Drosophila melanogaster: one gene and its partners. The protein of the gene in region 4 interacts with the protein of the main gene of each other region in a pairwise test. Each region holds a gene or a part of one and is shown on either strand. Other genes may lie near its edges.

Evidence for each region.
Region 1: the proteins of CG31820 (region 4) and disco interact in a two-hybrid assay, tested with the Drosophila melanogaster proteins (one large-scale study listed by BioGRID).
Region 2: the proteins of CG31820 (region 4) and CG43736 interact in a two-hybrid assay, tested with the Drosophila melanogaster proteins (one large-scale study listed by BioGRID).
Region 3: the proteins of CG31820 (region 4) and Idh interact in a two-hybrid assay, tested with the Drosophila melanogaster proteins (one large-scale study listed by BioGRID).

The regions. Positions count from the first base shown.
Region 1 is NC_004354.4:16,209,632-16,220,602, reverse strand, and holds disco (disconnected), read left to right. Parts: upstream 1-3,852; 5' UTR 3,853-4,352; intron 4,353-7,258; 5' UTR 7,259-7,324; coding exon 7,325-9,031; 3' UTR 9,032-10,005; downstream 10,006-10,971. UniProt on the Drosophila melanogaster protein: Required for the establishment of stable connections between the larval optic nerves, the Bolwig's nerves, and their target cells in the brain during embryonic development.
Region 2 is NC_004354.4:6,864,784-6,872,651, forward strand, and holds the start of CG43736 (uncharacterized protein), read left to right. Parts: upstream 1-3,443; 5' UTR 3,444-3,997; intron 3,998-4,477; 5' UTR 4,478-4,606; coding exon 4,607-6,208; intron 6,209-7,868.
Region 3 is NT_037436.4:8,353,896-8,361,786, reverse strand, and holds Idh (isocitrate dehydrogenase), read left to right. Parts: upstream 1-2,846; 5' UTR 2,847-3,129; coding exon 3,130-3,231; intron 3,232-3,661; exon of another isoform or gene 3,662-3,714; coding exon 3,715-3,771; intron 3,772-3,851; coding exon 3,852-5,132; 3' UTR 5,133-5,383; downstream 5,384-7,891. Other genes in the region: Culd (CUB and LDLa domain), read left to right, coding at 5,579-5,782, 5,845-6,175, 6,239-6,643, 7,177-7,545, 7,604-7,891.
Region 4 is NT_033779.5:16,003,647-16,009,221, reverse strand, and holds CG31820 (uncharacterized protein), read left to right. Parts: upstream 1-2,942; 5' UTR 2,943-3,055; intron 3,056-3,106; 5' UTR 3,107-3,127; coding exon 3,128-3,316; 3' UTR 3,317-3,433; downstream 3,434-5,575. Other genes in the region: CG13245 (uncharacterized protein), read right to left, coding at 3,870-4,112; CG43816 (uncharacterized protein), read right to left, coding at 4,367-4,528.

The DNA of each region.
Region 1 (10,971 bases), on a different chromosome or scaffold from region 4:
CATTTTAAAAATATTTATTTATTGTATATGCTTGCAAGCAAAATGAAGAGCAATTCAACATATTTATATTCAAAAATGTAAGATGGTAACGATCATTCAATTTCATATTGTTTTTCTTTCAAACAGTTAGAGGTGCAATTAATTTAAAAGGATGGATCTCAAAAAACAGACCCACAATTTACAGATGAGCTCTATATATTTACAATCATTATTTATAATGCCCCTACTTTTTCGGTTACCAAGGATAATTATATTAAGTGTGCAAGGTTGATTCGTTTCGAAAATCCTTCACTCGACAAACAACCATTTGGTGATCTAACTTGCCTACCATATACATAACTGATGAACAGTTGCTTGAGTTTTCCCGGATAAATCGTCCAAAACTAATGAGCTGTCCTGTCTTTTCTTTATTTTTGGTTGGGAGCTTGGGGGCGTGGAGGCAAACTGATCTGAAAAAATGTAATTAAATGTGAGATGTTGTGACGCCTTTGTTTGAACTGAAGAGAGCAAAGCCAGCGAACTGGATAACTTCCCATGGCCTTTTGCAGTTCCATATGAGTATCAATGCTCGGATACTCAGGTTGATATTTAGCTTGGGTTTCTGGTTCGGGCTCAGGGCGTTATTTTTTTATTTTTTTTTTTTTTGTGTGGGTAAAAAGAGTATAGCTGGGGTATCGGAATCGAAATCGATGCAGGGTCAAAAATTATTAATGGATTTTTAATATCATTTGTGTCAGCGTAAATCGTATTTAAAGAAATCAGAGGAAAGAGAACCGAAACAAAAAATCTGAAACGATTTATTGACCTGAAGTCAAGTACGCGGCGAGAAAGAGATGAGATGTACGAATATATATATATATATATACATATAGTCGTTGGATCTTTGTAATCCACAGGGCCTCCACTTGATGGTTCGATCTGGATGGGTATGGGTATGGGTATGGGAATGAGGATAGAGGATAGAGGACGGAGAATGGTAATGGTAATCGTAATGGCAATGGGATGGAGAATGAGAACCTGGACGACAAAGTGTGAAAAATGATTGATCGATTTCGTCTCGGATCTCGGACCTCGATTACGTTTCGATTTTGGTGTTCGTGCACAAAGGGTGCCGTGCTATTCCCGTGTTAATAAAGAACTTTGTGCCCGATTCCGATTCAGTATCTTGTTCTTGACTTTAGCCCGGTGACAGTGGATCTGTGGGACTCTGAAGTCCCTGAATTTTGATTCCAGCGGCGACAGCAACGACAATCGACATAATAAGATAGCAATTATTTATCAAATCTGGCAGGGGGCCGAAATAAATCGAAAGAAACGAGCATTTATTTCTCCAAATTTTTGATTAATGAAACCATTTCGCTACACAATAGAAGAGAAAGGAAAAACGAAAGTGTTGACTAGCACTGTCCAACATGAAAAAAAAAAAAATGGGGGGGCGACATCGAGATGACCCCAGAGAAGATATTTCCATTCGTTCCAAACAATATTAAAAAAAAAACCTTCGAGGATTGACTTTTCACCTTCGAACTCACATCAATCAATTCACAAAGGCCAGTTGGCGGCGCCGAATTGAAAAGTGACACTCAGCAATGGGGAATCGATTATAAAGGCACTCCACACATTAATATTATCAGATATTATTCTCAAATCAAGCAATTTGAGGACACCTTGTTGAATAGAATCGAGGCAGCATAAAGGTTGCTGCACTTGTCACTTAAATTGATGGTACATTCTGTAAAAACTTCGTTGAAAAATGATTTTCACAACACATCTAATTATAATCATTAATTTTCACATCACATTTTAAAGTGGAATTATGGTGCTTTTAAGTTTCAGATAAATCTGTTTATCTGAAAGAATTATAGTTTGGGTTTGGAGGATTTATTCCCACCTTCAGATTAAAAATTGAAGTAAACATAGTTTTTAGGAAAACAACAGTGAATAAATTGTGTTATTTATATATTTAGAACAATTAATGTTTCTGCAAAGGTACTTGCGATTACGCGATTACGAAAGCTAAATAAGAAACAACTAATTGAATGAGTGATGCATTGTATTTGAGAAGCCTTAAAGCTTAAAGCTTTAGGTTAACAAGAAACTGATTTGGGTTTGGTTTATAAGTAGTAAGTAAACTTACTTGAATGAATTTTAGTTAGAACCTTATATACCATTTAAACGTATGGTATGATATGTAATACTTAAAGATATTGAATGTTAAGAGAGTGCTTTTTATTAAGTCCTGACCATTTCCTGGAAGTCCAACATTGATGCTAACGCCTTGTGGGTATGCAACATAATAATGCGGTCCTTATTGTTATATTTTTTTATGGTGATTAATGCAAATAGGATTTGTTCCGTACGGTTTTTTTTCGCTTTAAGAACTTTTCTCGGACACTTGTGTGGATAAATTGAAGAACAAATGTGGCCAAATATGTATGTGTGCTTTTGTATCCTTATGTGGGACATTCCGGCGTCTAGCAAATACATACATATACTGTGTGGGAGTGTGGGTGAGAATTATTTTAATTCGGCAATGAAAAGGACAATGAAACGACAAGGAGCTGTGTATATGTGTGTAGGTGCTGCTATCACATAAGGCACTTACATACCGAAGCTGTGCAATTTACATAAGTTATACATGCATACATATGTACATACATATATAGTGGTGGTGGGGGCGGTCATGGTGATAGGATCGTTGAGGGACTGCGGTAGGGGTGTGGGGTGGAAAGAGGAAGCAGCAGCGTCGCTTCTTTGTCACCAGTGCTCGAATTCCATTGGTGCTGTGTGGCGACAGGGAAAAAAAATCGAAGCGAATCGCCCCCATTGCCAAAGTGTCACCCATACACAGATACACCTATACAGCGACATTCGCACCCACACACACACCCATACAGATGCACAGCGCAATCGCAAAACAAAGAGAGCCGCTCAACGCGGCCATTCGTGCGGGTGCGATAGGGACGGCGAGAGGGCACAGCACCGAGTGGACAAGACATCAAATGACAAAAATTTCAAAAGAACCTTCGTGAAGAGAAGCAGAGAGGAGAAGCCCAAGACAAAAAGTGACGTCGCAGCAGCGACAAATTACGTACTGTGTACTGTATACTGTGGCCATTGCCATTTCACTCTCGTTGCTCTCTCCCTCTTGCGCTCTTGTGCTCCGGCTCCCTCTCTCTCGCTCTGTCACACTATAGTGCCCGGCCATGTACTCACACCATCGAACCCAAGGCACCCATACCAGCAAGCGGCGAGAGCGAGCGCTGCGTTCTCTTTGGCTGGCGGCAGTGCGTGTGAATGTGTGTGCCGCACTGACCACACACACACACGTCGCATGTCGCATGTGTCAACCCAACGAAACGGTTTCGTCCACTCAGACGACAGTGTGCGAGCGGGCGCGAGATAGCCGCACGAGCGTGCCAAGCCGCTCGCACGCACGGGACGGCGCTCTTTCGCGGCGTGAGTAAGAGAGTGGTGGCTACTCTTGCCTCGCACTGCTTTGCCGACTGGGCGAGCGGGATGGACTCAAGTGCGGGCGGATCTCTCGCTCGCACTCGGGCGAGTGCCTAATGACCCATCGACGACAATGTGACGAAGGCCAATTCCAATAGCGCGCTCTCTCACACTCTTCCAGGTGCAAGAGCGAAAGAGTGAAAGAGAGAGGGCGCAAGAGCGAGCGGGAGAGCGAGCGAGAGAGAGCCAAATGTCACCCACCCCGCGTGTGCGTGTGTGTTTGTGTCAGTCAGTCGGTGTGTCGGTGTCGGTGTCGCCGCATTTGTCGCTCGCTCTCTGCCCGCTGCGCTGCCGGCGTCGCAGTCGCCGCACAAATTCGTTGGTGAAACGACAAATCGACAATCAGTGTCACCCACGACATTCGAAGAAGTGGATCTCTGCTGTCCCTGCTCTCCGCACATCCGCATCTTCGTCGCTACTTCGTTTGCCACTCCGCATATTCACATATTCGCATCCGCATATTCGCGTCCAGTCCACTCTTCTCTCTGCCGCGCGACCCAGTGCATAAGTGTGCGTGCATACGAGCGTGTGTGTGTGTGTGTGTGTGTCATCGTCAACTGTGAACGACCAACTTTTTTAATATCTCAGCAAAATGCAACAAAAATAAATGCACCACGGGCATGAAAACAACAACAGCACACAGCTCCAACAGTGAATTCTACCATCTGAATTTATCAACTTTTTACGCAACAAAATATCAAAACAAAACAAAGCGAAAGAAACCCTTTTTTTAAATCTCAAACCTGTGACAAAGTGAGAAAATCTAAAACAAAAAAAAAAAACAGCAATAAACCAAAATACAATAAAATATCTACAACTCGCTGCTAAATTAGCAAAAGGTATGTATAGTTCGAGTAAAGTTGATTTGCCGTCGGCACTTCAAGCAAAGAATTCAAATTCAAGTGAAGTCATAGTGAATATTTTTCGAGATCAGAGGAGTATTTTCTAAAAAGAAATCCTGGTGCCATAAAAATATTACCCATTCAAGAATTGTGTTATGAAATAGGAACGCAACAATAGGATTCTTTTCGTGGTAAATAATGATCTTGTTAGGATCACATAGGCTGCTAGTGGCATTAATATGGTATTACCATTTTCATGGGATCTCTGGTGATGTGCTGCCATCTTTTACCTCTAGTCTATGGATTTTCTTATAATATCCTGACTTTGCTAAATTGAAAACAGCTTGTTAATCCAATGTTCGTAAACCCATTTTTGTCTATTTGCTGCGTGAGCTTCGACGACAAAAAAGTGATGTCTTCGGGGGAAACGCCAAATGTCAAAGTTGTAATTAAGATTTTTGTCTGCGGTTTTCGAGCTCTGTTTTTCTCGTTGATGTCCGGACCATCGGCGTTGTCATCTTTGGACCATCGCATGCCCCTTGCATGCCCCTTGTGCCCATCGACTCCTGCTTATTATAATGTACTACTATTAACAGCAACTACAACAGCAATTATAGCCGCCGGATTGCTCACATCTCGGCATCTTCCATCCCCAACTGCCACACACCGTACTCCACAGATCTTGGATCTACCATCTACCATCTAAAGCGTCTCCCAACTCTCGGAATTCTTCAATCTTGTCGTTTCTTGTCTTGGGTACTTTCAACATTTTGCTGCCTTTGCCACTGCCGATAATCAAAAAACGTTTCGTCCGAGAGCCATCAAAAGTTGTGATTGGTTTTTCCCCTACCCCCAGCTGCCCAACATCACCCCCCCTTTCACCATCGGTGGCTTAAGACATTTTAAGCGTTTGACAAAAATAATTACCCATGTACATGCATACTCACCTCGATCTGTCGACCGCGTGCACTGAGAGAAAATAGAGAGGTTGTTATTGTTTTCCGTTGCGCCTTATTGTGCTATGCAAGATTGTTATGATGCTTAGATCTTGAATTGTTTTATATTGAAATGTTAAAAGATCTATATTTTTTTTTGAGTTGAATCTCTTTTTTAAAAGATTCTTGGAAGATAAAAAGGTATAGGCACCTTCAACTCATATGATATAGTTAACTTATAATGATCTAGAAAATTATTGCAACATCTTTGGGTCATTCTCTATTTCTTGAATGGTAACAATATTTTCGGCACCTAGTCAGAAACTGATTACTTCCAAGTACCTGACAATTAAGTTTTTTTTCCCCCCTTTTTGCTCTTCTTTTTTTTTTCTTGCGCTTTCGCATTTTCGCCGTGTGTACATACACTCATTTTAATGCTATTGTTGTCATCGTTACTAATGAGCCCCATAAAAAGCGACCATCTCCTGGCTTCCTGCAACTGTGTGCGTGTTACCTGTATGCCTGTATGTGTGAGCCATAGTCGTATGTGGTTTTCGGCTTAACTTTTTAGCTGGCATTGGGCAAGCGAATGCGAATGTGTGTTCGACTTTTGAGATCGAATCCAGATAGCCAGCCACGACATCGCACACACGATCATCACCATCGTCATCCGCATCTCACCGCAATTGTCCCCAGTTTTGTGACGCCCCTGGGTTCGGTTCACTTCTTTTTTTTTTTTTTTACCCCTGATTTGTTTCTGTTTTTAACGTCAAGTCGACTGCTCACAATTACGGTAGCGAACGGAGTCCACAATAAAAAAAATGAGCTAGCTCTGGCTTTAGCTTTGCTTTTGGTTTTGGTTTTGGCTTTAACTCCGACCGATCGGATCCAAAGTCGAAGTCCGACACTGATCGCCGCATGTTGTCGTCGCCGTCGACGTTGTCAGAGGCGATTTTAATGGCCAGAAGAACCGAAAAAGCTGTAAAAGATTTCGCTCGAGTAAATGAGGCAATGTGCACTTACACAAGTAATGCGCCAGTGTTAGTGTACAGTGGGCCTTGGCTACGACAGAAATTGGGTGCATAGGAACCAAAATGATAAAGATTAAACAAATGATGTAGCGTCAGTCACTGGGATACCCCTTTTGATTATTTCAAAATACAAAACATGGCAACTCTAGTTGTTCTACTGTACTATCGGCTCGACATGAAAGATATGCCGCCATCGGTGTCGCCGATATAAATGTTCGCTTGTCTGAGTTATTGTAAGCAGTGTGTGTCTTACCAATAAATCTAGCTGGATTTGCACAAAGTTGGCTAAGCTCCTTGGAAGCTTTCACTTGGGAATTTCGGTAATACACTTGAGATATGACTTTAGAGCGCTTTCCAATGCTATAGATTAGTGCTTTTGGCGTGGCAATGCAGTCATATGTACATATACATTCGCCTCAGATATTAATCTATATCTTAAGGATATCGAATATTAATTAATGAAAAAGCCATTTGAACAGCAATGGGGTTTTTTTTTTTTTGAAGCACACAGCTGGCAGCCTTAAAGACTTTCTTTTAAATCTGGATTTCAGAATGTATCTTACAGCAATGACCAACTAATCGCTGTAATCCACTGATTAATTGAGACCCCCCCCCAAAATAAAGTTTTCTCCCCTTGACTTATTCGACCGTCTTGACTTTTCGCACTCTAATTGCGCATCAATGACCACTGCCCAATGTCCCAGGTCCAGGAGTCAATGTCCATGTCCCCGGCACCACAGACCATTCAACAATTTGCCCTGCTGACTCTCGGCGATAAGGTTGATTCCAGTTTCCCAGTTGTAGTTGCGCAATCGGATTTGCCCCGCAACCCTGGCAATAGTTTTCGATTAGGACTGACCGATTCACTGACTTCCTGATTGACACTCCCTGATTGACACTCCTAACGATTCGTTTCTGTTTCTTGTTTGTTTTCCAGGCACCACCAGTCATCGCCATCGCCATCGCCAGCGCGACCATAGAAACAAAATCCACCACAGACGACATGGAGCACATAATGAATCCGTTCATGTCACCGGCTTATCTGCTGGGCCATGGCCCACATTCCCACCAGCATGTGCACTCCCATCTACCGTCACACCCGCAGCCAAATGCCGCCTCTCCGGCCAGCTCACCCGGCGGATCCAGTGGCTCTGGATCGGGATCGGCAGCGGGATCGGGCACTGGATCAGGTTCATCCTTAAAGCCTCGTCGCTGGGGCTCACCGCCCATCAATCTGGCCGGTCAGTTTATCAATCCAGCCACGGGAAAGAAACGAGTACAGTGCTCCATTTGCTTCAAGACCTTCTGCGACAAGGGCGCCCTTAAGATTCACTTTTCGGCCGTGCATCTTCGCGAGATGCACAAGTGCACGGTGGAGGGCTGCAATATGGTGTTCAGTTCGAGGCGTTCGAGGAATCGCCATAGCGCCAATCCGAATCCCAAACTCCATTCGCCACACATCCGGCGCAAGATCTCGCCGCACGATGGCCGCACTGCCCAGCAGTTTCCGGTTTTCTCGCCCGGAACAGCCGCAGCAGCGGCCGCTGTCGCCGGACGACTTCCGGTTGCCTTTCCCGGACTTCTGCCACCGCCGCCGCCGCATCATGGTCACCATCCGTACGTCATGTTCGGCGGACAGGCGGGTCTACATGGCTTGGGCCTGCTTTCCACCGGCTGTCAGGATCCCGATTCTGGATCGGTGGACAATGAACAGGATGCTGATCCCGAAGATGACAACGACTTTGTGTACGTGGACATGCAGGCCAATAGCTCTAGTCCGGCGGCCTCCAGCGAGGATCAGGAGGAACACGAACGGGATAATGAGCAGGATGAGGAGATGCACTGCAGCTTGAGCCTGGCCAGCAGTAGTAGCATTGCCGCCGATGAGGAGCGGGCAGCTGACCAGCCATTGGATTTCAGCCTTCACAAGCGTCGCAAGTCGGAGCAGGATCGGGAACAGGAGCAGGAGCAGGAGCAGGAACGGGAGCGGGAGGCGGAAAAGGAGCAGGAACAGGATGTGGAATCCGACAAGGAGCACGAACCCGAACAGGAGCATGAGCTGGAGCGTGAGAAGCGCTCGCCCAGCGATGCCTTCTCCATGGATCAGTTGCTGGGCAAGCGTAAGCGTCACGACAGCACCGCCTCCAGCTCCGCCTGTTCCACGGCAGCCGCCTCCTCCGCCTCTAGTTCCTCCGCCAGCGCTAGCGCCAATCCACCACAGACGAGCATCAAAATGGATCTGGACCCGGATAGCGACAGTGCCTACATGACCAGCCGGCGGCAAATGCTCCCACTGCCCGTTCTGGACCTCGAGGAGCATCATCATCTGCGCCTGCTGCAGACCCAGATGTTTGCCGCCGCAGCGGCTGCCGCTGCCACCAGCCAGGCACCGCCCACCGCCTTCCTGCCGGCGGGATCACCCGTGGATCTGGCCAAGGACTCGCCGCCCATGTGGAGTCTCCTCTCCGAAATGTACCGCTCCATGCTGCTGAAGACACAGCACCAGCAATACAACCACCATCACCAGCTGCAGCAGCAACACCAGCAGGAGCAGCATCATCATCTGACCCTGAGCCACCACCATCAGGAGCAGCACCATCATCTGGGTCATCACCACATGGGTCACCACCACCATCATCACCATCAGCACCACCAACAGCAGCCGCAACAGCAATCGCCGGCGGCCACGAATGCGCCGATTTCCGTCTAATGTCCAGACTGCTGATCCATGGCGATGATTTCTAGATGATTTCCTTAGTCAAATTTGTTTTTATATTTTTTTTTTGTGTGTGAATCGTATTTTAAGAAGAATACATTTGGTGGCGTGCTGCATTACACAAAAAGGTGGAGCTTCAGGTGGTGGGGCTGTGCCACAGCTTGACCATTAAATGGCTGGCACTCCTCCTCAGGCGCGACCCCGCAACACCCGCAACCAATGCCACTAAGTACCCCACCCCCCCCTCTGAAAACTGGAATTGCTCCGAAACTAAGCTTTTTCTGCTCGTACATGTGTTATATGGATTTTTTTTTTTTTTGGAAACCTATGTATAATGTATAATGTATACTGTAGTGCGACATCTAAGTGTATAGTATTCAATCCGTTCCTCAGTGTGAATGTGCAGATGCATGAATGAGAGTGTGTGTGTGTGTGTGTGTGGGATCCCAGGATCGGATCCAAAAAAAAAAAAAAATTAAAGTCTGTCATCTGAAAAGCGGGCTGGGCAGTGCAGAAGCGGGGATTTTGGAACGGGTTCCGTTTCCCTGCCCCCTCTATCGGTGTACAACGAAGTATTGATATTTATAACGAAATATATATTATGAATGGCATATATTAAATAGTTTTAAGACAATTTTTTTCGTAGCCAATAAAACTATATTGTATTGTATAACTTGGATGTACTAACACAGCAAGCAAATTCTATTGAAACATATCCCCCCCGTGTGTTAAAAAAATAAAAAACCAGAAGAGATTCAATTCAACCAATCCCTAAAGAAAAAAAATAAACCCAAAAAAAAAAAAACAAAATTATAAAAATCCATCGCAAAGGTTGATAGATCGTAGGTGAACGAAAATGTTATTGCTATCGCAAACGAAAATTCCTCCCGACGATTGTGTACTGTATTACAACAAGATTTTAAGTTTTTTATTAACAAATAAACAACGGCAAAATTGAAGAAACATGTAATCAAAGATGCTTTTTTTTATTGGTTCTCTGGGCGGATACATAATTTTCATGTTTTCACTATGAAAATAGAGCATATGTACTTTATGTGAATAATATAGATGAGTCATCGATTTTATGCGGATTTTGTTTTTCCATTCGAAAGATATAAAGTCCAGTGGAAAATATCTACAAAAAATTGCTATTTTCGTTAAATGCCATTTAATTCAGATATATTACTGCCCACCTTAAATCATTTAGTAATGTTTTTACGTAAATAGACCGATGTGCGTAACTCATTTGGATCACAATCACAAGTCAAGCTAGCTCTTCTCGCCTGCGAAAAGCACACGTACATATTTGCTTGTCTCAACGAATCCAGATTCAAATGTATATAGTATTGGTCTGATGAGATCTATAATGGGCAACGCCCTCGAAATGGTCTGTCCCTCCCGTTTGCACAAATGAGTATCCGAAATGCCGACGGACACTCACAAGAAGGCGTGACATGCGGCATAAATTGGTTTTCGGCTCCGCAACTATAGCATAGCATACCATACCGAAACCATACTTTACGGTTCCGAACCATACCATACCATACCAAACCAAACCATACCATGCCATACCATACCATGCCATACCATACCATATTCCTATACTCCATCCAATACTTGTACATATCGTACTCCCCCCGCGAATCGTCGTGATGAATGACCAACTATTGGTCGCAGCGGCAACCACATCATCATCATCATTATGGATAGGCATTTGAGGCCACTTATGGACGGATTACACACTCAGGCGCACGCACACCAATATAGATACAAATATATGTACATATATGCAGATACAGATACATAGTCTGTAGTGTAAGTGGCCAAATAGAAAGACCCTAAGTAGACGGCTGTAGGAATCTCACATTCTCGTCCGCCACTCGCACATATTTACGATTCTATGAAACACGCAACGATATTAACACCGCTTCCAC
Region 2 (7,868 bases), on a different chromosome or scaffold from region 4:
AATTGAGTTTTAACTGGAAATTGCATACTTGAACTGTTTGTAGAATTCCTTTAAAATAAAGCTGAGGAAACACCTGTTCCGCATGGTACTATCCTTTGTGGCAATAGCCTAGACTTACATGGAATATCCCCCAATAGTGGAGCATAATAGTTTAACATCCGCATTACTGTCCAATCCTATGCGTTCGTATTTCAAAATCTGAAATCATGAAAAACACAAATTTCTATGCATATACTGACATAAGTTCAAGCGCATTTAAAGTGTATCTTCCAAAAAGATAACCGAAGAGAAATAACCGCAAGCATTTCAACTCGAATGTTTGTTTTCCACCTAAAAAGTACTCACTTAGAGCGTTTGGTAATTGACACACAGAGGGTTAAAGGTGGCAATGGGGCGGTGGGTGTTGAAAGAAGTGGGTGCAATGCGATGGTTTGGGGGGGTTGGGCACACGCTCACATTAACACCGGCACACCAACACTCTGTAACGCTCTCAGGTGCTGCGGGCGCATTAGCCGAAAGCAGAAAGCAAAGTGCAGCGGAGAAGGAGAAGAGGAGAGGAAAGCAGGGCAGAAAAAAAGTGATGTGAGTGGGAAGATTGCGGTGGAAAGTACTGCGGGTGGTGGGCGTTGCGCGCTTGGGGGGAGCCGAGGTCGAACGGATGTCCGGTCCCCATTGATTGGCCAGAGTCCCCAATGAAAGGAGCAGTGAGTGGGGTAATTTTATAGAGGCAAAGAGATACGCAGCAAATCTGCATAATTTTAAGTTTGTGTTAAGAAACTATGTAGATGGTAGAACGACTTTCCCCATTAACGTTTGGTGGCACAAATGCATTTACAAGAAAATGTTAGAGAAAATTCCTGAAGCAACTCGCACAAAAATTGTAAATAGCCATTAGTCGCTGTCAAAGCCAAGACTGTTTAAAAAGTGTTTACACATCCAGCAGTATTAACAATATTACTAACGTAATTTTGGCAAAATTTAACCGTTTCTAAGCGGTAAGATCTCTTGTTCGTTTGTATTTTTGTATATTGCCACCATACATATGTATATACATACATACATATGTACATATATATGTACAAACATCATCAAGCTCGGTAAGCCCTCCTAGTTCTACTTCTTTGTGCAGCAAATATCGGTTTTCTGTTCCCTGCGCAATCGTGAAGCTTGCCAAAATCATAGCAAACGGCAGAGCCGACCATCCGCCTACCGCCCCAATCCCCCGTTTTGAGCCACCCAACGCCCAATCCAATATTTCCCATTGATGGTTAAACGAACGGTCTACATCCACGCATGCAAACATACATACATGTGTACGCCTAGATTCATACATGCAGACAGACGCACACATGCAGGCACATGTTTAGTCGTGTTTACATAGCAAAGCGCGCACGAAACGGGGCCTTTCGTAACGCTCGCTTCTCACGCTGTCTCCCTCTTTCTCCCCTTACCCAACCCCTCGCACTTACACCCTCTCTCTCTCACTCTCGTACACTCTTCGTTCGCATCGATGGCGACTGACGATGTCGAATGCGTATGCCCACCACTACAGATGCACATTTCGCACACTTTAACCGTTGCACATAGCCTCGTACATATAGATTTATGTATGTATATGTATATACATATATATCTATGTACATAGTTAAGCATATGACTAAATACGAATACCGCACTATTAGAAGGGGGTTTACATGGCCGTAGAGAAAAAAAAAACAAAAAACATCTTCCACACAAAGTACAAGAAATACCCAAACACACTCACGCACAGCTGACTAATTAGCAAAGCAAAACACCAAAAATCAAAACCCCCACTCAAAATCAAGAGAGATGCCACGAAACAGGGAGCCCGTAGAACGAAAGAATTAAAGAAAGCCACGCACTGGAGAGTCTCGTACCGTACAAACTAAAAAGCCCGGGAGACACCTGAAACCAAAGCCGAGAGATACCAATAAACTGCAGTGCCTTCCATTGACACTCGGCTTTTGAATACCCTAAAAACTGATTGGTGTACTTACGTACATTCATATATAAATTGCGTTTCGGTTTATATTGTGTAATCCTATTACACACATAAGCATATGATTGAATGAAAACAAGTAGAACCTTTAATAGGCTACAGTTGGTTCTAAATAAATTGAAGTGGACATTGCATTAAGTAAAATACATATCACAATGTGTTTTGGCGCAACTGTACGTTTAGTTTTCGGGACCAAATAACACCTGTTTTGATCTGACTGTACTTCGCGGGACTCGTTATTAACTGGCAGTTAACTTTTTAGCCCCGTATGATGGCGGCACAATGGAATTTGACTTGGACTCTTGGACCTGGCTAATTAAATTTTTTTTTTTGGTAAATGTTTAGAGTCGGGGCGACCTTTTGGAGCTGCGCCCGTTCGTGAACTCGTGTATTCGTTTGTTCGTGTTCGTGCTCGGTCGTTCCCGGTTTTCTCTGCCTTCTGGAACGGGGCCTGTCTTGAAAGCCGCAGAGCGCGCGAATACCGAAAACTTCTTGCATTCGACGGTGCGAAAGGGACGGGGAGAGTGATGGCATGTGGGAAAGGGAGAGGGCTAGAGCGAGGAGAGGTGGCCATCGAATGCTAAGCAGGGGCCTTTGCTTTTGCTTTTGGTGCTTGCCAAAAATAGAGCCGCCCCGCCACGCCTTCGCCCACAAAGAGCACCCACCCACCCACTCCCGCACAAAAGCAACAACATCATCATCACACCACCAATACCAAAACCAATACCAATACTGTGACCCAGCCAGCTCTCTGTGAACATGTGTCAGTGTGTGTGGGTCTTGTATATAGCATAGCTTAAGCTTTCCTTGTACCGTGGTTCAAATGCCAGGGGAAAATGGCATTATTATATTCTTATAGAGAAATAATATATACAAATAAATTTGTACAACTGTATGTAAAGAGTAAACATGTAACAAGGAAACACTAATTTTAAAGTAAATTTAGCTAGTTTGCATTATTTTTTACACCATTTATATGAGTAAGCCACAAAGAAGCTTGCCTTTTTTGATCTGCTTGATTCCCAGATGGTGTTACTAAAAAATAATGCGAATTTGAGAGAAAGTTTAACAATAAAAAGTTCAAATTCGAGATACATATGTGTAGAGTATTTAAAGAACTTAATTGTGAGGTTAAATATTCAACAAATGGTAAACTTGTAATCCCATAAATTCGTATTATTTTATAAAATTTTACTTTCATACTGAATTGGCTAAGATCCCTTAATTAATTTCCATAAGTTGCTTATGTCTTAACCACTGTGGGTTGTAACTCTGCAGCTACGTTGACGTCGGCGTCGCAGCTTAGAGCTAGTCGATGAGCGGAAGGAGAGAGAGAGAGCAGGCGTTCGTCGAGGAGGGGGCTAGCCGAATAGGGTGAGAGAGAGCGATGGCAGAGTAGGAAAATGCATAAGAAGGGGGGTGGGGGCGCAAAAGGGAGACGGACAGCAGCAACAACAATTCGGCAAAATGTTCGTGGCAGCGTTGCAGCGACGCCGACTGCGCTACGGGTGTTTGTTTTTTTCTCTTTCGTGTTTTCCGTTTTTCTTTTGCGCTCTGCATCCGCTGCCGCAGTAGGCGTCGCTGCCGGCGCGCTGCGCCAGTGTGGGTGAGCGCACGGCTGTAGGTTTGTGTGTGTGCCGTACACATTTTTCAGTTGACTTCGTTGAAATAATTTTCGTAACAACGATCACACTCGTTTGTGTATTGCGAAGACGGGCGGACGTGCGTCGGCGTCGAATGCGGAACAAGCGCTAAAGCAAACTAGCGAAAAAGTGCGAATATCAAAAGAAAAGAGAACCAAACAAATTGTTTTTTTTTTTCACCACGAGCGTCGTCGCAAAAACAACAAAAAGGAATTTAATAAACCAAAAGCAAACGAGGAGAGAGAAAGCAGCAACTAAATATAACAACAAATGCATTAAATAGTTTTGTTTTTTTTTTTGCCACACTGCCAAAATGCAGTTAGCGTTTGTTTGTGTAAGTGTACCACATGCATACATAATGTATAATTTATATGCCAAAAACAACAACAGCAATAGCATTGTGTGCAAAATGTTGAAATGAGCTCGAAAAACAACAAAAATAAGTGCGCGCATTAACACACGCACACTTGCAAAGGAAAACATCTAAAAAAATTATCACGTGTGTGTGTGTGTGTGTGTGTGTGTGAGACAGCCGGTCAGTGTGACCGTTTGTGTGCCAGAAAGAGAAGGATCGAACAAGCCGGCTGTTTATTTCTTTTATAGTTCTGTTTAAATAACAAATACACTTGCCAAAAGAATTTCATTTTGATGTGTGAATAATTAAAAAAATCAGTAAGACATAATGCAGTCTTTGTTAAATATATATTGACATATATGAGCATATATATAAATACATACACAAATAACATATCAAATTGAAATGCTGGCAGTACCAATCGAACTGTCATCCTAACAAGTAAATTTTTCAATACAGCTCCTAATATAAAACCAAACCAAAAGTGTGGATATCGAAAAGTCTGGAAAAGTACGATAACGCAAGATTACATAGAGCGCGAGCAAGACAGCATTCTAGAGCAAAAGAGCGAGAGTGTGCGGAGGAGCGATGGCCAGCGAGGATGTGCAGATCACTAGCGTCATCGATGCCAATGGCCAGAGCCTACCGCTCCACGGCAACAGTTTGGGCGGTCCCCTGGGACCGCCCGTCAAGCAGGAGCGTCCCGATGACGCCGAGATCCGCGAACTAGCTGCCAAAATGAAGGAGCAGCAGAAGCAACAGGCCGCCCAGCAGGCATCCCGTCAAGCGGCCATGCAGCACTCGAATGGGGGCGCCATTGCGGCATCCTCGGCCGGTGGCAACATGCAGCCGCCGATCACAAATGGCAATGGCCAGACCAATATCATGAACTACCTATCTCGTCATCAGAAACTACCCAACGGCACCATGCAGGTGGTGCCCGCCTTGGCCTCCAATGGCCGCTCGAATGGAGCCGTCAGCGACTCCGGCTCGGACAAGAAGTCCTCCACGGGACCCTGCGACGAGGAGTCCATTCAAGGCCACTTCGGCTGGGCTCAGTTCGGCAAGGTATCCATACCGTACATCTATCGCCAATCGGAGAAGTACTGCTCCGTGCGCATGATCGAACTGAAACTGCTGGGCAAATACCTTAACTGCCTGCATCCGGATATCTACTCCAGCTGCACCTGCGTGCGCAGCTACTACATCACCGATGCGGAGGCCCGTCTCTTCATCGAGATTAATCATAAGCATTGTGACGGCGAGTTCGGTCGCGACATCTTCAACCAAAAGGATTTGGTGGTGCGTCTCAGTGACGCATCCAAGTTCTATCAGTTCCTGGATATTTGCTATAGGAAACTAGTCTCCGGCAGCAAGACGCCGTCGGAGAAGTGCGGCTTTATTCGCATCAACAAGGAGTCCGTGGTGCCCTACACTGTGCGCAACAATCAGCAGGTTGTGCCGCTCTTTTATTTTGAGGGCGAGACCGAGAATCTAAAGACCAAAGCGGAGCTGCTCAATGGCTGGGACCTGGCTTATCTAAAGTTCTGCTGCAAGGTGCAGGGCATACGCAATGAGCTCTTCTCCAGCGAGAACGTGGCCGTGATTTCGCTGACGGACATCAAAAGCTACTTCCCAAATGGCACCGAATTCGAGGACTACTGGCCCAGCAAGGTGGTTGACTCCAATCTGCTCATTGGCAATCGGGCCAATGTCAACAACTCGGTCAATTGGACCCGTCAACCCTCGGCGCCGCCTCCAAAAGTGACCACCTCCGTTTCCGGATCGTCCGGCCCTTCCTCCTCCAGCGGCGGCAACATGGGCCAGAACACATCAGCCGCATCATCCTCCGCGAACACCGCTGGTGGCCAACAGGTGACCTCAAAATCTCAGCAACAGCACGCTGCCTCTGCCGCCGCAGCAGCGGCGACGGCGCATCAACAGCATCTGATGAAGCAACGCGCCGCCGCAGCAGCAGCTGCCGCCGGCGCCAATGGTGTGGCGAATGCGGCAAATAGTTTTGGGGCAGCCGCGGTAGCGGCCTTCAATTCCCAGGCGGCGGCAGCGGCGTCGATGCTCCAGCAGTCGCAGGGCAACAACAGGATGTTATCGCAGGCCACCGTCCAGGCTTTGGCCAGCAGCGGATGGATGTCCGGACAGACAAACCTGCAGCTCCACGCCCAGATGATGGTGAGTTGAGCACTAGGCTAGCTAACGTTTTCCTCCAATTAATGCACAATGTTTATCAAACTTTGGGATATCAAAGCTATTAGCAAAGTTTGAGAAGTAATGCCCAATCGTAATCTGGAATATAATATCAACGTTGCTATGGTATCATTTATTATACCCCAGCTACTGAACAATATTATAGATACAAGATTCTTTACACTCAACCGAATTATCGTTTTTCAAGCCTTATCTAGAAATTCGAGCCTACTTTAGAGTAATGCGAGTCGGTGTTTATGCAATGTTTGTGATATACATTAATCCAGCTCATTTGTGAATTGGCATTTTATTTTATTTCGTAAAATTGTAAATGGATACTTATTTATCACTAAGAGCTACTATTTTATACTAGAATCCTTCGGCTCAAAATCGAAATGAATGACATTTCCGGTACTTAATTGGTTTAACAAATTGTCTACCACTCCATACATTAGTAATGTCACACCCAATGTTAAATTACTTCTATTTTAATGGTATAGTATATTATAAAGTTCAAAAATGAACTGCTTAGAATGGCATTTAAAACTAGTTATTTGACTACCATTGATATAGAAAATCCAGGCCCGACTTTGGTGGAGACCAGTTCGAAAAAGGTGGAAATGGGATGTATTGGGGGTATTTTGGATGTATATGTGTGCGTACGGAGGGATTTCTCTAGAGAGTGCATGGCCGTGTTTTGTTGGCCTTGCTTGTAATGATACACAAACTTACATATGCTAGGCAGTACATATGTACATCGTACACATATATAAATCGCTGTTTGTGTTAGCGTGCTTTTTTTTTCTAGCTGATTTTTTCGCAGTTTGGCAACAGCGCAGCAGCAGCGTTCGACGGCATCAAAAACTAGGTCACCAGTATAGTGTGCATAGGAGAGTGGCTCCATCTCCCTCTATGCCCATCCCCATCTCTTTCCCCCCACTGGTGCCCTCTCTTCCCTCTTTGGGATGTGCATATGAGTGTGTGTGTGTGTGTGTGTGTGCTGGCCACAACCTGTTGATGTTGCTGCTGTTGTTGCTGCCACTACAGTCGAACTTCTATAAAGTAAACTTCCTTTCTCACGAAAGAAAGATGTTTGTTTTACAAACATTTCACCATAAATTAATTATAAATTCATAAATTTATAATTAATTAAAATTCATGTGTGTTTGAAATATTCTTAATATATCTAGAACTTGAGGAATTTGTTGTGACCTTCAAAATTAAAATCGGCCTCTAACACATAAAACGTAAACAAAAAAAAAAAAGAAATACAAGCCGTCTAGATACTCGCTATGCGTAATGGCAATCTTATCAAATCGGAGACCTAAAAACGTAGTTCTAATCGCCTACGAAATCGTTCACATAGCACAAAAAGTCTTTAAGCGTCTAATAGTCGCAATTTATTAATCGATTGTTGTTGCTGAACTAATTTGCAGTGCCAATAACTTCCGCCTTCTTTGCATTCATAATTGTTAATTATGCACAACAATTCGCCATAATTGCACACATGGTAAAGTAGGTCATCACAACGATTAACTAGTGGGTTATATTAAATTAACAAATCAAGAGCAAAAAGGATGTAAACATGTAGTTCCATTGAGTTAGTTTACTTTAGTTTAGTTTTTCAAAAATGTCAACCCTTTTT
Region 3 (7,891 bases), on a different chromosome or scaffold from region 4:
TTTCGCCGGCACGCGTTTATTTTACCTGAGAGGATGGGCCAAAACCGAATATGTTATTTAATGCATTGGCATGCACAAATTAAGACACGTTATAATTGGGGGTTATATAAGCGAGCATAAACGGCGCTTATCTAATGCCACACGGCAAAAGCAAAGAAAGCGTCGCAATTAGACGAGTTTTCTAGCCAGTTTTTGTCAAATAATAGGCCCAAGATCGAGTGATTTTCATGCATGTTCGGTTGGCTGTCGCCGCATTTGATGTTTTCCATGATGTTTGAAAATGCTTATCGGGTGCGGTCCCTAATGAGATGGGTAACTATTTATCTAGGGGGGAAAATAAAATATGTAATTTTGCGCGATAAGAATAACAACGGAACATGTTAATGAGCATTTTCTTGTTTCGTCATTCAATAACTAATTCAATGATTTTATTATCATTACTGAATATCCCACATTCCTTTCAACTGTCCAAACTATGCGAAAGAACGTAGCATTCGCGTCTTAATGGCAGCACACTTTCGCATATTAAAGGCGGTCACAACAAAAGATGGCAATTTTAAATTTTTTTTGCATATTTAAGACCAGTTAAACGGCGCCGGCTAACATTTCACTTTTGGAGCACATTTTATGGATTTTCTTTTAGCGTCATTAAAGCAAACGAACGCACGCTGCTCTCACAAGTTGCGGTAATTGAGAATTCAAATTTTATGTTTGGCGGTTCAGCAAGACGAACTAATACTGAGTGCTGCAGAACTCGAGAGTAAAGCTTAAAGTTCGTGAGAAAGCTCTTCGCAAGCAGCTGATTGAATAACATGTTTTTATCTACGGAATTATCTTCCACACGCGCCACCTCTTGCTCTTTATTGTTGTCGTCGCCAAATCAGTTTCAGTTATTCGCTGCGTCTGATTGGGAGTGGTTCGAGATCTTTCGGTCTGCAATTTAATTAGTCTGTGCTCTAACATTCTAAATTCGGCATTTTAAATATTCTAAAAGGTAAGTGGAGCATTTGTTTAGCCTTATATAAACCGGTTCACACTCCACGCCAAACACCCACACTTCCGATCGCATTCCGCCCAGCTATTTACTGCACTCAAAGGCTGACTTGCAATTTATCTGAGCAAATAAAAAATGGTGGATTTCCAGATCGGTTGCAATACGTAAATTTGCCGCAATTCAAGCCTCCTTAATGCAAATAAGTTGCGCATTTTAACTTTATGCATAACCTCTGGCCCAACCTATTTGGGCCCGAACTTTCCCCACCGGTCTGTTTTCATATGCATTTTATTTGTCTGCCGCTGTTTTGTTTTTTTCTTTGCACCGGTTTGCCTCCTCGAAAAAGAGAGATACGGATAAAAAAAGTGTGAAGAGACGACAGTGTGAAAGAGGGGGATATATGTGGAGAGAGAGAGACACGTAACCCATTCGACAGGCCTTTTCACATCCACCTGATTCTCCAGGTGCTGTCCAAAGTTTAATCTTGAATTCGTGTCGACAGTTTTAATTAAACCTATACAATTACTATGCATATCTACAAATAGATGGTTCGAGAAAACCTCCAGATAGCTCGTATCTCATTGGGACTTTTGCATGCACAATTTGGAAATGTTTTTAACTTTCTAAGTTTGTCCTATGTTTTGAGTGCTTAAACAACTTAAACAGTCGACGTTTATTTTTTTCATTTATCAAACTAGAAGTCAGATCTGAATACAATTAATTACTATAATTAGATTATCGTAAACTTATATTTGATAAGGATAGATGGACTCTTTTATTAACTTGTCAGTCGAAAAATTAAAACCATAATTTTATTAGGTTTTCTTTTTTATTTCTAGCGAATTTTGTATTAACAGTTTCATAAAGTTCAAGGGTCAAAAGTCATCATGCAATCTTTTTATTTCAACAATAAATATTTCTGGGACTAGAAAAACACCAGATGAGAAAATATCAGATTAGATCTAGATAATTTATTCGCCCCGTCATTACCAGCTTATTTACCAATCGCAAGTCTTATCAATATCGTACTATGTTCGAATTCTCCCAGTTGGACTAGAAAAAAAAACGCTTGTGAAATTCGTTTGGTGAAAGCATAAATATTGTTATTATATATAATTGTGGGCGTGGCCTCAGCTTATGGCGTGTTCGGCGATCGCGCCACCTCAATATGTTAATTAGGTACACATGTACCTATAAAGACTTAGAGATATTTATATTAAAGTCAGACAATGGATCTATTAAATATGAGAAGAAAAATCCAAAAAAACATCACGCAATTGCTATTTTAATTTGGAAGTAAATGGCATTGACTGAGTAGATAAGAATGGTAGACGTTTCAAGATAATCAGAGCGAGCCTCCTTCGCAACAAAAAAAAAAAAAGATTGGCGCCCAAGTTCAAATATTATCTAAGCTTTAACATGTCAGTTCGACTATCGTTATCGATAGTACCGCACGTACCAGCTGATTTTGAATTCGGGTGAAGTTGAATAAATAAGCTTAATGCCACGCGCTTTTCTAATTTGTATTCCTTATCAAAACAAGTCGGCCGTGAACTTTAAATAAAAGTGGCTAGCCCGCAATAGTGGAAAAGTTTTTCGCCAGCTGATAAACGCAACAGTTGTCATTCGGAAGAGAGGGACAATGCCACCCGCAATGCGAAAGCGATTGACAAGTCAGCCGGCGATAACGATTACATGTTTACGCGTTCGCCGAGTGCTTATTGTTTTTTATACTCTCGTTACATTATTAATTAAAACACTTGCTTTTAAGTGTGCCGAGTGTTGTGAGAGCAGCTTATCAAAGTCCGAGGTTCTAAATCTTATCTGACTGGGCATTTAGAACGTTGTGATTACGCCGATTGCGCAACAATTTGACGATTGTACGCCACCCAAGAGAGTCGGAAACTGTAGCGCTTAACGGCACTTTACAGTTATCAGTTACGGTTAGAGCGCGTCTGACGCCCACAGCATTTAATTTTGCTTTGTCCGAAAATTGTTCTCTTTCCCGGGACTCCAGTGTCATATTGTCTCGTATTGTTTCACATTGGTGACAAACACTATCGTCTCTCGTTTCCAGTCGTCGGTCGGTTCATTCATAATAATAATACCCACATCCACACCAATCCGGTTGTAAAATGTTCGCCCTGCGCCGCACAGCCGCAATGATGACGTCGGTCCACCGGCAGCCGCATCTCAGCCAGGCCGTTTTTCGGGCCAATTTCGCCATCAGCGCCGCGGTAGGTCCTCCTTGTATCCTCGCCCTCTGTCGCTCTAAATCTCTTTGCTTACTAAATTTCGGAATAGGGTGGGTCGATGAGCAGGAGAAAAAGATATTTTGAATTTTTTGAAGTCGGTCTCAATATTAAGATTATAAACAATCACGTAGTCACCTGTGCTGCTAGCATCCGATAAATAGGATTACTATATTTACTGTTTATACAAAAAAATTGAACAATTTTTTCTTAAATTTATAACCTATGAATGCAAAGTAGAGATATTAACTTTTAGGCAAGTACCTTAATAATTACGTCGTCACGACGAAATATTAAATATTACAAAGTAAAGATAAGGGATTACTTTTGAAACACGGTGTATTTTAATTTCCATCCATCAATATCGACCCACCCTATCCCAGGCTGATCAAAGTTTACTTTGCTTTGACCAGTTGTCAGTTTATTATCGTCATACATATAAGTTTCGCCTGTATCGCCTGTGCTTAGGACCCCAAAACCCATAAGATATCCATGGATAATGAAAGGATGTCCGCCGTGAGCGAGGTGAATACCCCAATACCGCAGCATTCAGACACAAATCCATTTTTCATGTAGCTAATAAGATTCCCATCCTGCCCTTCAAGCACTCAAGTGTGGTATGCTCTCCCGAACAGATGGCCCAGAAGATCAAAGCCGGTCCCGTTGTGGATGTCCTCGGTGACGAGATGACCCGCATCATTTGGGACTCCATTAAGAGCCAACTGATTCTGCCCTTCCTGGACATTGAGCTGCATACCTACGATCTTGGTATTGAGAACCGCGATAAAACCGAGGACCAGGTCACCATTGACTGTGCTGAGGCCATCAAGAAGTACAACGTGGGCATCAAGTGCGCCACAATCACTCCCGACGAGAAGCGCGTAGAGGAGTTCAACCTGAAGAAGATGTGGAAGTCGCCCAACGGTACCATCCGTAACATCTTGGGAGGAACCGTCTTCCGTGAGGCAATCATCTGCAAGAACGTGCCCCGTCTGGTGACTGGCTGGCAGAAGCCTATTGTGATCGGTCGCCATGCCCACGCCGATCAGTACAAGGCCGTCGACTACGTGGTTCCCGGACCCGGCAAGCTGACCCTCACCTGGAAGGGAACCGACGGTCAGGTGATCGATGAGGTCATTAATGACTTCAAGGGCCCCGGTATTGCCCTGGGAATGTTCAACACGGACGATTCCATTGTGGACTTTGCCCACGCCTCTTTCAAATATGCTCTGGACCGCAAGCTGCCGCTGTACATGAGCACCAAGAACACCATTCTGAAGAAGTACGATGGACGCTTCAAGGACATATTCGAGGACCTGTACAACAAGCAGTACAAGAAGGAGTACGAGGCGGCGGGCATCTGGTATGAACACCGTCTCATCGACGATATGGTTGCTTATGCCATGAAGTCGGAGGGTGGCTTCGTGTGGGCCTGCAAGAACTACGACGGTGATGTGCAGTCGGACTCCGTTGCCCAGGGCTACGGATCTCTGGGTCTGATGACCTCCGTGCTGCTATGCCCCGATGGCAAGACCGTGGAGGCTGAAGCCGCTCACGGAACGGTGACGCGTCACTTCCGCTTCTACCAGCAGGGCAAGGAGACCTCCACCAACCCCATTGCCTCGATATTCGCCTGGACCCGTGGCCTGCTGCATCGTGCCAAGCTGGACAACAATGAGCCACTGAAGCAGTTCGCCGACACCCTTGAGCAGGTGTGCATCGACACAATTGAGAGCGGCGCCATGACCAAGGATCTGGCCATCTGCATTAAAGGCAACATCAACGCCGTTACTCGCAGGGACTACCAGGAGACTTTTGAGTTCATTAACACGCTGGCCAAGAACCTGGAGGGTGCCCTGGCCAAGAATGCCGTTGCTGCCAAATGACTATCCGGCACTCAGTCCGAGCAGCAGGCCTCGCATCTCTAGAAAACTACTCAGCGATGCCTTGTCCTCGTCACCATATTCACAATATTTCCATTCGTTTTTGTAGATGTGCATGTCCTAGGCTAAAAATCCGTGTCCTCGATGCATGTTTCCCACTGTTTCATTGTCTCTGCGAGACGCAAAAAAAAACCCTGATTTCCCTTTAACGTCTAACGGAAAAGAAATTTCAAATAAATGTATTTTTATACCGGACTCGAGAGGTCTTTAACCCAGTCGAGGGTGGGCTCGTTACGAGGCCCGGTCCACTTGTGCGGCTTCTGATGGCTCTGGGTTTATTGGATTTGCCAGCGAAATGGCCACAGTTGTGTTCTAACACTTGGCGGCACCAGACCGAGACGGTTCAAGCGGAAGGGGCTCAGGATCCTGTTAGAAGGACGAAACTATCGATGCTAGCCGAAGCATTGGGCTATGGCTACCTGCTGGCCTACGTGATCTGCCTGCTCTGCTGGCCAGGAGAGGCGTATCCCGCCAGCAGTAGCTACCGGGATCTGGATATATGCAATCATTGGGACGGAAGACGTCACTTCCTGGAACTGGGAAGTCCAGCTGGAGAGGTGCACGCCAGGAATGTGACTACTACTGCCTATAGAGTAAGTGTATTTACAAGCTTCTCCAGACGGGATTTGGTCAGCAATTATGAACTTAAAAACAGAGCTCGCCGCTGGTTTTTAAGAACGATGCAGTGGCCGGGGATGTGTGGTACCAGTGCAGCCTGGAGCTGGTCACCTGTGCCGAGTGCGTCATCCGAGTGGCCTTCACCTATGCCAACTTCTCCAAAAGTTGCGGCAATACGGGTGGCAAGTCCAGCATGTGTCCCTGCGAGCATATCCAGTTCTCGGAGCCGCCCTATGATTCCACCATTTCCGGCCAAGAGTTCTGTGGAGATGGCAAGGTGTTTCGGAGCAAAACCAGGACACTGCAGTTGAAATTCTTCTACAGAGCCAGCAATGCGCACGTGTTCTCCCTTCAATACTTCTCGGAACGTAAGATTTAGAATCAGTTGGTAGGTTTTTAAGAATGCTCTATCCGGATTTCCCTCGGAATAGGCAACGTGCGGATAGTCAGTGGCTCCCCCAAGCAGTCTATTGTGGGCAATGGGAGTACAAAGTCCCAGCCACAAGTGATCTCCACGCCGTATTTCCCGATGGCATATCCACGCGACTATGGTATCGAACACATCCTCACCTGCGAGGCGGACAACTGCCAGGTGCGTTTGGATTTTACCGACTTCCAGCTGGGCCTCACCTCCACCCTAGAGATCTTCGACTCCAATGGCCAGATGCTGGACTCCTATACGGGTGAGCACTTCCGTCCGCCGATCACGGTGAGCAGCGGCAAGTCTCTGCTCCTGCAGTTTCGAGGAAATTCCGCCACCGGAGTGGGTTTTCGCGCGGAGGTTAGCTTCGTATCCTCCAAGCAGCTCAAGGACGAGCGACTGGTGCCCTACACAGGTAAGTGAATGGGTTGCAGTGCACTGAACAAAAACTAAGACTATCAAACAACTCAGATCTAAGGTTAAAACACAAATATTCCGCAGGATTAAAAAATTCGAGGTTTTTAAAAGTATAGAACATTATGCTTATCTTCATTTTAGAACTCGCAGATTGATTAACTTTTTAAATGGATTAGTATATCTTTTCTCTGTAGGAATAGGGACATTTTAATGATTTTCGGATTAGTCGAGCACTTGAAAGTCTGCAGGCAATTGTCATATTGATTTTGGCGAAGGTAGTGGGTGGGGTGGGCACTTGGCGAATATCAATGTCAATGCAAGGCGTTGAAGTGGAAACTGGGTGACTCTGGTTGGGTTCGGTTTGGTAAGACAATCGATTTCTTGGATCATTGCCCGTAGGGTGGTTGGCAAATACTTGTATATAATCCGGAATGGGGTTGGTTATGCACTATTGCGACAGGTTGGATCACAATGCATGATGCAAGAGCACATAAATAAATGCTTATGTACATATCTCTATTACACCTCTAGATTGCGGGGGAATGGTTACCGGACCTGGTGGCGCCATCACCATGATGAACATGATCGAAAATGCCACGGACGTGCGGCTGTTTGACTGCATCTGGATTATAAAGCCCGGCAACAACTACATGATGATGAAAACCCACATCTCGTTGAGAGTGGATGACTTCTACGGCATGGCCGCCAGATCTGAGCTCACAATACGGCAGGGCACCACCTCGGATGCCGTGGAGATCGAGAATGTGATGTGGCCGAACAATGGGCTGAGCAAGGAGAGTCATGTGGCGCCCATCCTCAATGGCTACTACATTCGACTGCGTGGGGTATTCGGGATGTCCTCCAAGCTGGCCATCGTCTACAGCGTGTTCAACTACTTGAGTGAGTTCGATTGGAAAATTTAAATTTAATGTTTAATTAACCAATTCGAATTGCTTAGATTGCTATATTGGCTCGGAGTTTCTGTGCGGGAACAATCACTGCATATCCATTCGCCTCCACTGCGATGGCTTCGACCATTGTGGGGATGGCAGCGATGAGCCGGATTCCTGCGAGGAGGACTGGGCACACCTGCATCACGATCGTCGCTGGTACTCTCACAAGCCCAACTATTATTTCCCCAAGATAGACCAGTATCCAGATCTTAAGACGGCCACGGGAATCTTTATCATCAGCACACTTGGCATATTTGGTGTGCTGTCCGGCTGGATGGTGATCCTGTACAGGA
Region 4 (5,575 bases):
AAAGAAATAGCATATAGTGAAAAAAAAACAAAATACAAAAAAAAAACTCTGTGCCCAGACCAACCAGGACTTACCAAAAGGCAGCCGTCCCAAGGAGTGGCGGCAGGAGTATCCTGCAGACGACAACGGTGCCAAGGAGACGACAGGCGGGAACCAGGCGGCGTTGGGTAAATAAACGAAAATATTTTGTACTTCAAATAGAAGCGAACATGCTAAAGAAATTCAGCCAGAATTTCAGCGACTATTTATGCATCGTAATGCCCTATAAAGGAATCACTAAGAATAAGACTCTGAATTGAACTAGTATTGGGTCCTATTCAATTTCGTATTTAGTATAATTTTTTAAAACTTTTAGAGAATATTCTAAATGAGCATTGCAAATATACATACAGTTAGCCAAAAGGGAAAAGTCCAATGTGGTGAGGTACATTTTTTACAGATTATCATTTTAAATATGATATAAATATTTGCTATTTATGTGCATTTTATATGTTCATAGTGTCTGCGAATAAATATTGACATTTTTGTTGCACAAATTAATATTTTTTGTCACAGTCAAATACTGTAATGCAAAATGGTCAACTATCTCCTCTTGCAAATGTTATAATATTACTATGTATATACTCCACAAAGCAGCAGGAATTCAAAAAAAAAGAAAAGAACTTTGGGCAACTTGTAATAAGCTGCACTTAAGAATAATTCCTACATATTGACAACTTCGTAGTGTAAACTTTTCAATGGTCACTTATGAGCTTTTCCCCGAAAACCGATGCTTGACAAGTTGCCTCTTTTGAGATCGGCCACAAAGGCACTTCAAATGGAGGCCCACACAAAATAGAAGAGCCATACTCAGCATGCGGTCAGCAAAAAACAAGAAACTAAAACAAAAGCACCCAGAAAGCAGTTTGAGCAGAAATTGCCCATAACGAGCACTTGACCAGGGACAAAATGTGAGATGCCAGAGTTCAGAGGAATTTCACATCTTTTGTATGCCTTTTTATTTCGGGGGCATGAGTATCGGTGGCCCGATAGCCGTGCTTCTTGTGGCAAATAAATTTAAAGTGCTCGAAGGAAAAAAGTGAAAATAACGTTGCACTTAAAGACCGCACATTTGTCTCAATGAAGGCCGTGTCACAAAAGTAACGTTAAGTTCTCCTTTTTACCTAATTTATACAGTTTACGCTGGGCGGTTGTCCAATGTCCACTGTCCCAATGTCCTGCGGCCCCTGCGATCTCCCATTTATGTCCGGATTCAGGGAGTGGAAGCCATATAATTGCGCTTATCTCTTGGCGCACACTCAAGTGGCCCGGCTCAATATGTTTTTGGAGTGAAATGAAGTGCCCATCGTATCCACTTGGAAAAGAAAAAAAAAATGAGAAAAAAAAGAGAAAAGAGGCAGGGCGGCCAAGAGGCACTGGCATTGGAATCCCGGCAGAAATTTTTGTATTTGATTTAAAAGGAAATACCTTTTTTAGTTGAAGCCTCACTTGTTTACCCTGCTGTTTTGCTTTTCCCTGGTGTTTCTCCCTTTTTGTGGTGACATTTTTATACACTGTGTGTGTGTGCAGGGGGATAAGTTTTTGGCATCCTACCAATGAGATTATCTTAAGTGGGGTGTTGTTTTTCGGTTCGAAGGAATGTGGAGGGCCCTCAATTGCAGTCTTGAAGCTGGGTTCCCTTTTTTGGTTCGTTTAGAAATGAGTTTCGCAATAGTTCTTAACTGTCTGGGGGTCTGTGGTTTTTCCTTTTCTCCAACAGCGAGCTGTTATTGGTAAATCGATGTAAATTGCTTTTTAAACAAGTTGAATGAATAAATTATAAGGCCAAATGGAATGCCAAGCGGAGGATTCATTGCCAATGTTAATAGTGAGAATTTTTGAAATTGTTATAAAATCCAGCGTTTAAGGTAAGCACAAAATTTGATAGCACAAAATATTATGAAATAAGTTTCAGTTATTATCTTTTTTTAATCTTATTGTATTTTAAAGCTAAGTATATAATAAAAACTCAAATATTTATTTATTGAAGCGTAGTTATTTGACATTTGCTGATTTGCTGATCACAACCAAAACAATTGCTTTTCATTATTCAAAATTTAAGCTGGCCGATTTAATACCATTTGAACAATTCCAATTTAGTTTAAATAAGTTACATTGTCCATTCTCTGATACAGACTTCTCATATATATGGATATATGTATATGTATATGCTGTGAGTGCATCTTTTGAAAGCCTCAAGTGTGAACACACATTATAATAAACGCCTCAATTGTTGTTCAGTCATCTGCGTAATTTATGTTTAGCTAATGTTCAGGGATCGATGAGCTTGTCAGCTTTTGTGAATCACAACGCCCGCAGACGCACACGAGGTCCTGTATATCCTATATCCTGTCCCGCACACACATGCCCTAACATTAACCCCCCGAAAACCGAAGGAAGCTGGAAAATGGCGTTAAGGTTGCTTCGTTGAGTCTAATAGACTTTCATGTCTGCCTCGACATTGCCGTTGCCCCAGTTTAGAGCGAGTCCTGTACAGAATCCTTTCGGCATCTTCCATCCCATCTCATACTGGTGTTATTCTGCCCAGAGTCGTCGTTTTTTTTTTTTTTTTAGACATGTTTCAATGATTTCTTATTTTTGCCAGAGGGGCGAATCTGTTGCGCTGCTGTTTTGTCGTTAGAGAAATTCAATTTTTTTGTATTTGTCGCTTCGATGTTAAATCATTGATGTGTGAAATTTGTGAGCTCAGCCAGGAGGAGAGCAGCATCAACAACTTGACTTTGATCGATTTTAAAGGCAGTTTCTCTAGCCCACTTTGATTTCCTTTCTGGCTTTCTAGCTGGTTTTAAATTTTTCCACATCAAGTTGGCTTCGGGAAGAATTTCCCAGGGCATGGGCTTGGTTTTCTTAGCTCAGCTCATTCCAGTCTATTTACTTGTTTTGTAAACAGCTCCGTACGCTTTCACCAGTACATAAACCAAAAGTACGAAAAAATTTCGTGTTTCAACATTTTTGGAAATCTTTACTCAAGCATTTCTCTTGCCTTAAACAAAATGTGAGTAGTCCTAATTTCCCCGAAAGATTTTCTATCGAATATCTCCTTCAGTTATAACCTATCCTCCCGAAGATGTGTTGCCAAGGAGCTTGTGGATCGGTATCCTATGCCCTGGCTTATGGCCCCGTCGGACCCGCTCTGCCAGCCATGAACTATAATAACTGCTGCTGTGGACCCAATCCTCCCTGTGGTCCCTGGACATGTCCTCCTAACAGGTGCTGTTGTGCCGGCGAATGGGGTTGCTTTGGGCCTTTTTACTGAGAAACCCAAGGTACGACAATTCCTGAAGAAAACGACGTGAAATTTTTTTGTGCTTTTGGTTTGAACCACATTTTCACTTACACAATGGTTCGAGCTTTTCAATAAATTAATGTACTTAAACAAGTAACTTCTTATTTACTATTTGTCAAATTTCTTGAGAAATTTCATATTCCATTGATACGTATATGAAAAATAAGAAAATATACCAAAATCCTAGATAGCACAATCTTACTAGGATTGAGTATCCTAAGTATACCATGAGGTATAATTCTTTCTCTAATGGTTCTTGAAATTGTATGGCTCAAATTTAATATTCCTTTAAAAAAAAATATACTAAAATTGTCGACAGTTTTACCAGGACCAGGATACCGATAGGAAAAATATGAAAATAATTAGGCGCGACAGCGTAGGTACAAGATCTCTAACTAAGGAACAAACTTACTTAGTCAGTATTAGTCCCTCAAATTTTTATTGGTTTCCCATGGAAATGGCTGGTACAAGAAGATCTACACTGATAATTTTAGTAGTATAAGACCGCATTTCCTCCTGGCGTTTATTCGTCTTCCTTTTTTTTCTGAGTACTCGCCAGTGTGCAGAGCTGCGCATCCAGTGGAGACAGGATGTGCGGAACATAGCAGTTGTTGGTGTTCTTCTTGCGGCTAGTATCTAGAACATAACACTTATCGCAAGGACCGCAGGGCGTGGGTATAAAGTCCCGACCGGTGAAACGCAGTGTTGACAAGGGAGGATTATTGCAGGCCAGGTCAAAGGAGGCACAAGCCCAGCCACCACACATGGTTAGGAAACGGATGTGGGAACTATATGGAAATGTGAATGATTAAAAATAAAATTTTTAAATAAAATTTTATAAAAGCATAAATGAAACTTACCCCGGTGAACGTTTAAGGTTGTTGTTCCGACAAGGACTGGACTGGGACTGAATGATATTTGTTTCATGGCTGACAGCCAACAGTTCCCAAGGCCTACTTCAAGATAGTTGAATTCCGGACTCTCCACCCAACTCTGTGGCTACTCCAGGTCAGAGATCACCTAGCACCCGCAGCAGCCACCGCAGCAACCGCCGTAAATGGAACAGTCATCACATGGACCGCAGGGCGTGGGTGCGAAACAGCGGCCAGAGAATCGCAGTGTCGACAGGCGGGGATTGCAGCAGGCGATATTGTAGGAGGCACAGGCCCAGCCACCACACATCTTGACTTGGTTTAGGTTTTCCGAAACGTGTGCTCTTTTTACTATTGTTTTTTTTTTTTTTGGGTGGGGTGTATAGTTATTGGCCCTGGAGCAGACACAAAATCGAGTGTTTGGTGCCGAAGTGGAAAAGGAACTGAAGTGGATTGGGTTTCCCAGGGAGCAAAGGCGATTTTTCGCTCTGACAGCTATTGACAATCTCATCGACGCCGCCCTCGGGTTAGACTACGCTTTGGATATCTGGCCTAAAATGAAAGCTGGCTAAATCGGAACGAGAGAGTGGATGGCACCCTGATGCTGAAGTGAACTACATTTTGGAAGCCCTTAGCCGGGATCTTCAATCATATATACCATATTATGGCATGTTGTGGGAATATATAAATTAAATTACTCTATTGGTGTTCTCTGTGACACAACCAATCAAGTAAGCGTTACAAAATAAAGTACGAGATTGCATACTGTTCAGAACAACTTCATAATTCTATTACTTCTACCACGAGTTTTAACTCGGACCGTTGGCGATGCAAATTTCTATCCGCCGAATAACGAACCGTGATGAAAGTTTTTGCCACTCCGGTCCATGATACTTCAATCCAACTCCTATTCATCCAGGCGGAGACAATCAATTACAATATCTCCCGACGGACCAGAGGCCATGTAAGAGGGTGTCTGCATGTGAGGATCTAGTAGACAAACCCACGCATGGTCAACTGTGCAAATGTAACTGAGAGGACATGGGTTCGACGAAGCGTGGTGGTTCTGGTTGGATATTCCTAGCGACCATACGTCGGTTTTAAATGGTACCGCAAGGCAGGATGTGTAATTGAGATGTAATTTTAATTGCAATGTTTTGGTGACAAAAATAGAGTGATGGAATAAAAGTACTTTTATAGACTTTTATAGGAAGAAAAATCGTTAAGTTACCATATAAATTGCAAATTATACATGGAATTACTTAGTCTCCAATATATGTTTATTCGATACGATTCTAATTTAAAATGTTTTCAACCGCATGTATCCTTGCCTTTGGTGTCACTTTTCCAGTAAATA